Macaca fascicularis: one gene and its partners. The protein of the gene in region 1 interacts with the protein of each later gene in a pairwise test. Links are inferred from orthologs where the notes say so. Each region holds a gene or a part of one and is shown in the gene's direction. Other genes may lie near its edges.

What was found.
Region 2: the proteins of TSC22D1 (region 1) and APLP1 interact in a two-hybrid assay, tested with the Homo sapiens proteins (2 studies listed by BioGRID and IntAct). The link is inferred for Macaca fascicularis from reciprocal best matches to the Homo sapiens genes TSC22D1 and APLP1.
Region 3: the proteins of TSC22D1 (region 1) and CCDC90B interact in a two-hybrid assay, tested with the Homo sapiens proteins (2 studies listed by BioGRID and IntAct). The link is inferred for Macaca fascicularis from reciprocal best matches to the Homo sapiens genes TSC22D1 and CCDC90B.

What each region holds. Positions count from the first base shown.
Region 1 is NC_088391.1:23,687,825-23,690,966, reverse strand, and holds the end of TSC22D1 (TSC22 domain family protein 1), read left to right. Parts: intron 1-71; coding exon 72-123; intron 124-1,288; coding exon 1,289-1,546; 3' UTR 1,547-2,642; downstream 2,643-3,142. UniProt on the Homo sapiens protein: Transcriptional repressor. Acts on the C-type natriuretic peptide (CNP) promoter. Acts to promote CASP3-mediated apoptosis.
Region 2 is NC_088393.1:43,098,853-43,102,786, forward strand, and holds the start of APLP1 (amyloid beta precursor like protein 1), read left to right. Parts: upstream 1-1,134; 5' UTR 1,135-1,195; coding exon 1,196-1,342; intron 1,343-2,227; coding exon 2,228-2,371; intron 2,372-3,378; coding exon 3,379-3,511; intron 3,512-3,718; coding exon 3,719-3,831; intron 3,832-3,934. UniProt on the Homo sapiens protein: May play a role in postsynaptic function. The C-terminal gamma-secretase processed fragment, ALID1, activates transcription activation through APBB1 (Fe65) binding. Couples to JIP signal transduction through C-terminal binding.
Region 3 is NC_088388.1:82,266,453-82,270,434, reverse strand, and holds the start of CCDC90B (coiled-coil domain-containing protein 90B, mitochondrial), read left to right. Parts: upstream 1-1,182; 5' UTR 1,183-1,290; intron 1,291-1,456; 5' UTR 1,457-1,547; coding exon 1,548-1,647; intron 1,648-3,982.

The sequences.
Region 1 (3,142 bases):
TGCAAGATCCTTTTTATCTTGGACGCTTAAGATACCATTTATCGATGACCTTTTTCCCTCCTCTTTTTCAGCTCCTCTGGTGCAAGTGTGGTAGCTATTGACAACAAAATCGAGCAAGCTATGGTATGTACTGATGAAAAATCATTTATAGTAAATGTGGGCACAGCACAAAAATAAGATGTTTCGTGGAACCAGTGCATCCCTAAGTTCAGATGATGTCGATTGCTCTTGATGCGCATAGAAATGCCGGCGCTGTCTCCATTCGGCCAGCGTGGAGCCACCTAACACGGCAGCCGTGGAGGGAGAAAGGGGCCCTGTGGGTAGTAAATAGTCTCCTTCCCGGGACTGGTTTCACACAAGGGGATTTTCTCACGGTGACCCTTTTTGCTGGGGATTTATTAGGGAAGCAAGCGCTGGCCCAGTGTCTCCTTCGGCTGGTCGTGAGCACATCTTTAGCGATGTGGCTTTACTAGGAATCCTAACATTTTACTAGGGAGCCGGGAGGTGGGGAGGGCCCCAGAAGTCGGGATCCTGGGTAAGGGCCTTCTAGACGGTGCACAAACGGGTCCCCGGTGGCGCGGGCTTCTGCACAATGAAGAAGAATCGGAGAAAAGTTTTGTTTTCTTAGCCTGCGCCTGGATTTCTCCTATTTTTTATTTCCGCCTTGGCCGTTCTTTGTTATTGGAGCAGCGCCTGTGGCTCTTCTCACGGGATTCTCTGCCCACTGTTGCTAGGCAAACTCTGAACCTTTAATTCGGAGCTATAAATAACTCGGGCTCCCATTGGCTGCGACGTCTACCCAGGTTTCTGTGATGTCAGCTTAATCACGAAAAGCGGGGGGGGGGGGGGGGGTGGAGGGAAGAAAATGCGGCAACATGTTCGGTAGGAACTGGCTGCAGCCGGTGCTGAAGGAGGCGGCTCCGGGCGAGCGTGGGGCGGGGCCTGGGGGCGGGGACGCGGTGGGCGCGCTGTGGCCTGAACATCCCCGCTGCTGGTCTCAGTCGGGGACCCAGCGCCCGGCTCTGGCCCAGTCTCAGATAGGAAGCCGGACTTGGGCGTTTCTGGCCAACGTCTGTAGAGAAGCACAGACTTTTACAAAGCTTGATCATTTATACGTTAAACTCAAGTATTGTACAGTCATGGCTGTATTCAGATTCCCCAAGTGTCATTGAACGAACTTTAAAGGCGGAATATGTAAATAGCGAGAGCCATATAAAATAATGTCTTAGAAACTCAGAGTCCAGAAAATAGCAAATAGTGAGTTAAACCTTTTCTCTCTTCTTTGCAGGATCTAGTGAAAAGCCATTTGATGTATGCGGTCAGAGAAGAAGTGGAGGTCCTCAAAGAGCAAATCAAAGAACTAATAGAGAAAAATTCCCAGCTGGAGCAGGAGAACAATCTGCTGAAGACACTGGCCAGTCCTGAGCAGCTTGCCCAGTTTCAGGCACAGCTGCAGACTGGCTCCCCACCTGCCACCACCCAGCCACAGGGCACCACACAGCCCCCCGCCCAGCCAGCATCGCAGGGCTCAGGACCAACCGCATAGCTGCCTATGCCCCCGCAGAACTGGCTGCTGCGTGTGAACTGAACAGACGGAGAAGATGTGCTAGGGAGAATCTGCCTCCACAGTCACCCATTTCATTGCTCACTGCGAAAGAGACGTGAGACTGACATATGCCATTCTCTCTTTTCCAGTATTAAACACTCATATGCTTATGGCTTGGAGAAATTTCTTAGTTGGGTGAATTAAAGGTTAATCCGAGAATTAGCATGGATGTACTGGGACCTCATGCAGCTTGGCAGATATCTGAGAAATGGTTTAATTCATGCTCAGGAGCTGTGTGCCTTTCCATCCCTTCCGGCTCCCTACCCCTCACGTCCAAGGGTTCTCTCTCCTGCTTGCGCTTAGTGTCCTACATGGGGTTGTGAAGCGATGGAGCTCCTCACTGGACTCGCCTCTCTCCTCCCCCCAGGAGGAGCTTGAAAGGAGGGTAAAAAGACTAAAGTGAGGGGGAGCAGAGTTCACTGTACAGATTTGACGACTGTCACCAAAATCCATAAAAAACAATAGTACTGTGCCTCTTCTCAAACAGTGGATGACACAAAACTATGAGAGTGACAAAATGGTGACAGGTAGCTGGGACCTAGGCTATCTTACCATGAAGGTTGTTTTGCTTATTGTATATTTGTGTATGTAGTGTAACTATTTTGTACAATAGAGGACTGTAACTACTACTTAGGTTGTACAGATTGAAATTTAGATGTTCCATTGGCCGTCTGAGGAGGTGTGGACTTTTATATATCGATCTACATAAAAACTGCTACATGACAAAAACCACACCTAAAGAAATTTGAAGAATTTGGCACAGTTACTCACTTTGTGTAATCTGAAATCTAGCTGCTGAATACCCTGAAGTAAATCCCTGTTCACTGAAGTCTTTCAATTGAGCTGGTTGAATACTTTGAAAAATGCTCAATTCTAGCTAATGAAATGGATTTCCCAGTAGGGGTTTCTGCATATCACCTGTATAGTAGTTATATGCATATGTTTCTGTGCATGTTCTCTACACAGTTGTAAGGTGTCACTGTATTTAACTGTTGCACTTGTCAACTTTCAATAAAGCATATAAAATGTTGATAAACAAGTGTTTTCATCTGACCCTGTTAATATAATGGCAGTCATTTCCACAACTGTTTCCAGGTAAAGTTTAACAATTTGACTAGTAGAATCCTGAAGGGGAGTAGAATGGTTGGAAAAGTCGGGGCATGATTTGACTACATCAAGTAAAAGGAAATTGACACTGCATTGTTCAGCTGGTAAGGGAAGAGACAGTGGAGGAGTCCAGCTCAATTCTAATTACTGTGTGACTTGGACAGGTTGCTTCACTCCTGGACGGATGTAGGGGTTTGAAAGAGACAATCTCTTACATTCCCCTTTGGCTTTAAAATTCTAGGAGTCCATGAAAATCTTAATCTTCCACTTTTTGTTGAACTGACAGAGGAAGAAGGAGCCTTATTTGTATAATTGCAATAAGCAGATCTAGGATCAAAAGACTGAAATTGGAGAAGCTGATTTCCACTTTAAGAACCCTGTCACCCTGGGTTGGGGTGTTTCTCCTAGTGTAGGATGAGTTTCTAGCTC
Region 2 (3,934 bases), on another chromosome or scaffold:
GGACTACAGGTGCACACCACCACACCCAGCTAATTTTTGTATTTGTTTGTAGAGACAGGATTTCATCCTGTTGGCCAGGCTGGTCTCAAACTCCTGACCTCAAGTGATACGCCTACCTAGGCCTCCCAAAGTGCTGGTATTACAGGCGTGAGCCACTGTGCCCAGTCATGGACTCTTTTAATATACATCTTCATACACACACGCACACACACACACACACACACACGAGTTGCAAACAGAAAAGACACACACATTGGCATGTATGCACAGACACACGCATAGATGTCCACACAGTTGCACACATGTGACAGGGCTGCCCCAGGGGTCCTGGGAAAGACAGAGTTCTACACTCTCATTAGAGGAGACAAACGAGTGAGCCCTGAAGTGGGACAGAGAAGGAGACTATGGGCATGAAAATGGCAATCCCCTGGTCCTTACAGCAAGGGTGGAGATCCAGACCCTAATCCTGGGGCGCTGCATCCACAGTGGGCATGGTGCTGGTGCCTGCTTGGGTGATCCTTAAAGAAAGGTCCCGGGGGCTTTGGTTCATGGATCCTTGAGCTAGGAGTTAAAGATCCAGGCCCCTGGGACCCTTGGGAAGCAGAGCAGGAAGACTGAACTGGTTCTGAGGGAGAATGGGCTGGGGGCTTGGTCTCTGGTCCTGAGAGAGAAGGTGCCCAGACTTCTGGATCTGAAAGAGGAGGGGACTGGGTCTCAACTGCTGCCATCTTGACGGGACATTTTGGAGGCCTGTATTCCTGAGCCCTCAATAGAGGAATTTACTAGGGGACGGGGGTCTCTGATGCTTGCATCCTTGGAGAAGGACAAAACTGTGAGTGTCTGGGTCTAAAGAGGGTGAGAGTCCTGCGGGAGGACTCAAAATCCACAACGGGCTGAGCCCATAGCAGGACTCCTGGCTGGGCCCTTCATGGGGCGGGACGCCTGGAATCTCCAGGGGCGGGGGCCTGGCGCAGGCTCCCGCCCGGGGTTCCCGAGCTGCTCCACTCTGCGCGGAGCCGCCACGCTATTGTCCTAGCCAGGAAGGCGGGGCCGGCGCGGGGCGTGGCTGGCGGCGCCGGCGCAGCCCGGGGGCGGCGGGAGGAGGAGGTGGCGGCGGTGGCGCTGGGAGCTCCTGTCACCGCTGGGGCCGGGCCGGGCGGGAGTGCAGGGGACGTGAGGGCTCAAGGGCCGGGACATGGGGCCAGCCAGCCCCGCTGCTCGCGGTCTAAGTCGCCGCCCGGGCCAGCCGCCGCTGCCGCTGCTGCTGCCACTATTGCTGCTGCTTCTGCGCGCGCAGCCCGCCATCGGGAGCCTGGCCGGTGGGAGCCCCGGCGCGGCCGAGGTGAGGCCGGGCCGGGTCCTGGGGGATGGGGGAAGGGGCGGGACCGGGTCTTTGGACGCCAGCGCGGACATGTACAGGACAGAAAGCGCGGTCTTTCCAGCCAGGTGGTCAGCCCCCAGGCGCCCCCAACCGCATTTATGAACCCAGGGTTCCAGGCCCCAGCTCCCCCATCCTCCGACGTCCCAGCCCCCTCCCACCCCGAGCATAGGAACTGGTCTATTCAGAGCCCCTGGTCCCAGAAGTCCAGCCCCCTCTCCAGACCCAGGTGACTAGGTCCCAACCCCCTCCCTCCTGGACATAGGACCCACCAAGCAGCGAGGCACTTAGATCCAATAATCCAGACCCCTTGTATTCTCTGGACCCATATGGAGGCCCTTGCAGCCTCCTAGGACCCAGGAGTCCGGTCCTTCAGTCACCACCCACCCCAACCAGATGTAGCTCTCCAGTCCTCAAGGACCTGGTGTCCAGGACTGTAGGCCCCTGAAGCCAGGCCTTATCAGCTTTGCACCCTGCAACCGGAGCCTGAGCAAGGGATGGAGGGAGGAGGGGCCAGAACGCCTGGGTTCAGGCCTCCTCCGCGATTCAGGTTTAACCCCTTCGGGCTCCAGAGCGGCTGAGCTGGGGTCGGGGCGGAGTCTGTCTCCGCGGCAACAAGGCAGAAAGAATCCCGGGGGACCCGGGTCGCCATAGCAACGGGAGAGCTAGGGCGCCCCCGCCCTACGGGAGCTGTTTCCCAGGGAACGGTGCCTCCATGGAGGCGGTGTGCACAACGGTGCTTGGGGGAGGGGGCTGGTGCTGGGGGTCTCGGTCCTAGGGAGCAAAGAACCAGGGGACCCTCATGCCAACGCCCCCCGGGCCCTCATTATCCCCTCCACTTCCATCCAGGCCCAGGGGTCGGCCCAGGTGGCTGGACTATGCGGGCGCCTAACCCTTCACCGGGACCTGCGCACCGGCCGCTGGGAACCAGACCCACAGCGCTCTCGACGCTGTCTCCGGGACCCGCAGCGCGTGCTGGAGTACTGCAGACAGGTGGGCGGGGCCGAGCGGGAGGGGCGGGGCCAGCGGGAAAGCGGGCCCCAAACGAGGCGGGGCCGCCCGTAGAAAGCTACACTTGAAAAAGGCGTGGTCCAAGGTGCCGCGGGATCTAAGACGTGGAAGCTAGCAGACGTGGCCAATAAAGAGGTGCAACTATGCTAGGGCAGGGGACCTGTTTTGAAATACTAAGTCAGGAAAGGGGGAGAACCGCGAGATAGCCAGAGAAGAAGTGGAATTTAGGAATCTGGTGGTCTTTGTAAAAAGCAGAGGTGTAGTGGGGAGTGGCGAAAGGATAGGCGGGGCTAAGACAGAAAGAGACCTTAAGGACCAGCGAGATGGGGAAAGGGGTGGAGCCCAATGAAAGCGCGGAGAGCTGGGGGGCGTGGCCACGAAAAGACAAGTCTGTAATGGGAAGGGAGAGCTTTGGAGAGGCGAAATAGAGGAAAAGGCAGGGCTAAAAGGAGGGTGAGACCTTTGGGGAGACGAATCTGACTGCGGGGAGGGGTGACCAGAGAGGTGGGCTTAGAGGGACCTTCAGAAAGAAACAGCACAGGAAAAAAGATAGCCTTGAAAACGGACCTGGCCGGGCGCAGTGGCTCACGCCTGTCATCGCAGCACTTGGGGAGGCGGAGGCGGACGGATCACCTGAGGTCAGAAGTTCGAGACCAGCCTGGCCAACATGGCGAAACCCTGTCTTTACTAAAAATACAAAAATTAGCCGGGCATGGTGGTGCGTGCCTGTAATCCCAACTACTCGGGAGGCTGAGACAGGAGAATAGCTTGAACCTGGGAGGAGGAAGTTGCAGTGAGCCGAGATTGTACCATTGCACTCCAGCCTGGGCGACAAGAGCAAATCTCCGAAAGAGAGAAAGAGAGAAAGACAGAGAGAGAGAGAGAGAAAGGAGGGAGGGAGGGAGGGAAGAAAGGGGACCTGACTACTGGAAAGGGGTGGCTGGCAGAGGCGGGGCTGTGGGCTGATTGCCCCCATTTAACCCCCCCAGATGTACCCGGAGCTGCAGATCGCACGTGTAGAGCAGGCTACCCAGGCCATCCCCATGGAGCGCTGGTGCGGGGGTGCCCGGAGCGGCAGCTGCACCCACCCCCACCACCAGGTTGTGCCCTTCCGCTGCCTGCGTGAGTCCCAGGCGGGGAGAGGGGAACTGAGGTGGGAGTTTCCGAGGGGCAAAATTCTGAGCCCCTCTCTCGGGCCCACATTAAGGGGGTGGGTGCTTGTGTCCTAAGTGGGTCAGAGAAGCCTCTGAGGATAAAATATCTGGATTCTGAGGAGGGTGGGGTTGGTGCTGTAGGAGGGTCTCACCCTGGTGTCCCGTGCTTCCCCAGCTGGTGAATTTGTGAGTGAGGCCCTGCTGGTGCCTGAAGGCTGCCGGTTCTTGCACCAGGAGCGCATGGACCAATGCGAGAGTTCAACCCGGAGGCATCAGGAGGCACAGGAGGTCAGGACCTTGGCCCACCCGTCCCCAGCCCCCAGAACCCAGGAACCAGGACCCCAACACCCTCCTCCACCAGAACCGAGGGTCTGGGCCACCAGTATCCTCT
Region 3 (3,982 bases), on another chromosome or scaffold:
ATACCAAGAACAGAAAACCAAACACACATGTTCTCACTTAGGAGCTAAACATTGACTATATGATGGTAAACATGAAAACAAGAGACACTGAATATCATTAGATGAGGAAAGGGGGAGAGGCACAGAGGGGTGTGGGCTGAAGAACCACCTGTTGAGTACTATGCTTACATCCTGTTGGGATCGTTGGGACCCCAAACCTCGACATACTCTAGGGTTTTGCTTTTTGTTTTTTGAAACTGGTGAGATTAAACTTTTTTCCCTTTTTTTTTTTTTTAGATGGAATCTCGCTCTGTCGCCCAGGCTGGAGTGCAATGGTGTGATCTCGACTCACTGCAACCTCCGCCTCCAGAGTTCAAGCGATTCTCCTGCCTCAGCCTCCCGAGTAGCTGGGATTACAGGTATGTGCCACCACGCCTGGCTAATTCTGTATTTTTAATATAGACAGGGTCTCTTCATGTTGGTCAGGTTGGTCTCAAACTCCCGACCTCAGGTGATCCGCCCGCCTCGGCCTCTCAAAAGTGCTGGGATTACAGGTGTGAGCCACCACTCCTGGCCATCCTAATGTTTTAAATAGCGATTTATATTTCCTCTTCATGAATTGTCTGTTAAAGCACTTGTGGGCGGAAATTAAGTTTTGTTCTTCTTTCAGTGTGCTTCGGGCCTTAGAAATGGTGTTCGTTACGTAGCTCTCACAAAGCTTTGAATACATATAGATAGAAACCTAGCCGTAATTGTTTAGAATCTTGCGAGAATAAGCCACTGCAACCGCACAACTGTGTGCCATTTTAGGATTTACCGAGAATACTCATGAGTATTGGTGCATTTTAATACAACTACTGTGCATTGATGCTTTCAGCATTTTACTATGCGCTGCAAAGTCTTGAGTGAGGTCTGGGAAGGATAAATGGTGAAAAATTAAGGAATTTCTCGCAGAAACGGAGGAATTCATCTTCCCTAAAGAAAGAATATACCGACTAAAATTAGTTGGTCCTCCCGTGCACCAGACGGCGAAGCAGCAGGATGTGACGCTGCACGGTCAGTGAGCGACTTGCTGGACTACACTTCCCAGAAGGTTTCTTTGGCCTCCGCACTACGCAATCACCCAGAATGCTCAGCGGCCGAGAACTTCAGGTCCCAGACTGCTGTGCGGCTAAATACGACTCCATCTCCCCCGACCCAAGCGCTTAATGGCCGCTGGCAATCTTGGGGGAGCCAGCTGTTGGACTATGCGCCGCTGCCAGGAAACAGGCGCCAGAAGGTTCTCCGACAAGATCCCGCCTTCCTAAGACGGTAAAGGCGTTCACAGGTCGGGAAGGGGCGGTGGGAGTAGCGGGACAGCGCTGAGCATTGCTCGTGAACTGTGGGTCGGCCTGCGAAGAGGCCCAGTTTCGTGGCACCACTGTGGCGCCCGCGCTGGAAGGTGGTCTTGTGACAGAGCGAAAACTACAATTCCCAGCATTCCTGCGGTGCCAGAACTACCTTGCCCGAAAGCCTGTGCGAGATTTACCCCGTCTTCCGCCTCCCGTCCGCCGGAAAACTCTGAGGCCATGAATAGTCGCCAGGCTTGGCGGCTCTTGCTCTCCCAAGGCAGAGGGGATCGTTGGGTTTCAAGCCCCCGCGGGCATTTCTCGCCGGCCCTGCGGAGAGGTGAGGCAAGGCGTCGTGTCATAGATGTCTGAGTGCTCTCTAGGGAGACGATGCCCGTGGGTCGCGCCTGCTCGAGCGAACGGGAAGAGAAGGTGCCACGCCCTCCTCCCCGATTCACGCCTTGTGCTGGCGACACAGCTGCCTGCTGCCCCGACTTGCCCAGCTCGCCCCAAGGGGCGAGGACTGAGGAAATCAGTGCCTTTCTGTTCTTAAAGCGAACCTTCGAAGGCCAGGGCTTCGCGCCCGGCTTCTTTCTCAGCCCTTGTTTCCCTTTTTTGGTGACAAGAGGCTAGTAATCTGGTAGGTTTGTCTGGAGGCAGCGTAAGGTAATCTGTGCTTGAGGGTGTCCTGATTTCTTTTGTGGCCTGATCTTTAGATTTTGTTTTTTTAGGTGCTGGCCTCGAGCCCAAGTTTTTGGTAGACAGCATCATAAATTTCAGATCACGTCTGCCTTATTCTCGCTGGAATTCTCAGTACTTTTCAGTCACATTGTAGACTTTGGGGAAAAAAGTGAATACTGGAACCTACAAGTTTCCAACCGGTTGGCACCCCTGTTAACAGGGTGTCCTGAAGACATCTAACTTTATTCCGAGAAACGTTTCTAGGGCTAGGTTTTTCTTGTTGTCGTTTTTTACCCCCCGTTTTTAAACTTCCCTCCTAGTTTTTAAACCGTTTTAAGGTTGTCCACAAAATAGGCGAATAGGCACCTCTTATCAACCTTAGCATTCTCTGTTCACCTTCTTGAATCTTCAGTGCCAGGTACCCTGAGCCAGTCGGTACCCAAACACTTCCACGCTGTTATTTATGCTCCATATTGTTACTTGTGCTGTTTTGCTCATTGTTTAATTTTAATCCACACCAGTAACAGCTGCAGTCAAAACTGCAGTTGTTGATCATCCGTCTGTAAGATTGCTCTTTAGCTGCCAGGATCATTCACAAGGTCTCTTTTGTTAGTTATTTGGGTGTTTAGCATAAATACACATTATGATGGATTTTACAAAAAGGAGGTAGCACTTTTGAATTCCAGGAAATCTTCCAACTTTCATCTTTGTTGACTTTTACAGGTGTGCTTCACATATCCAAATGAAAACAAAATTAAATGTTTTTAGAGAATGAACTTTGAAGTGCATATCATAATGCGAAATACATGACCATAAGTAAATGTTAATGTTTTAACGTAAAAGTTTTCCCACTTGAATCTGAGTGTGCTTGGAGAAACTTTAAATCTCTTCTTACAACTAGTAGGATTTGTGTCCTTCCTCACTAAACAAATATTGAATGTTTATTGTGTACAAGTAGTTTAAACTTGCCTAATAATGTTAATAATCAGGGGATTTGAAAACCTTGACCTCTGACCAGTGGAAGGACCTTAGTTATCATGATGCAACTAGTCTAGCACGTTAGTAGACCAGCATGTAAGAACATATGCTGTAATGCCTGTTCTATTGAGTTCCTGACAGAAAAGTAACTGACTATACACTGAAGTGTTTCAGCTGTAAAATTAGCAGTAAATTCATATAAAACTTGCAACTTAAATTTATTGGGACAACATTTTACATATTTGTTTGTTTGTTTGTTTCAAAAGTAAAATTTGACCTTTTCCAGCAAAGAGGAGCTTGGTGCAAGATAGGCCAGAGTTCCAGTCCGCAATCTATGACTTAGTAGTTTTGCCAAACTGGTTAAACCTTTAAACCCTTGAGTTTGTATCTCACTATTACAAACAAACAAATCCGCAAGATATAGCTATCAAAGAATCAAAAGTAGTAACAATGAAAGGAAAGGTTTGGAGTTTTGTACAGATGTTTAAGCCTGTACAAAACTTTTCAGGCTATTAAGGATCTGTTGTTCCACTATGAGCTAGAAACACTGATTCTGGGCACTTCATTTCCCCTACCTATTAATATGGCTGCGAAGACTTATTTATTTATTTATTTATTTATTTATTTATTTTGAGACAGGGTCTCTGTCACTCAGTCTCGTGTGCCTTGGTGCCATCTCGGCTCACTGCAGCCTCTGCCTCCCAGGCTCAGGTGATCCTCCCACTTCAGCCTCTCAAGTAGCTGGGACTACAGGCACATGCCACCGTGCCCAGCTAGTTTTTGTAATTTTTGTAGGGACAGGATCTTGCCATGTTGCCCAGGCTGATCGCGAACTCCTGGGCTCAAGCGATCCGCCTGCCTTGGCCTCCCAACTGCTAGGATTACAGGCATGAGCCACTGCACCTGGCCTGTAAAGACATTCTTAATGAGCGCTTATGCATTGAACTGCTCATGACCAGTTGGAATAGTGATTATGAAACCCTACTATGAATATCCAATGGTTTTTCCAGTTGCTT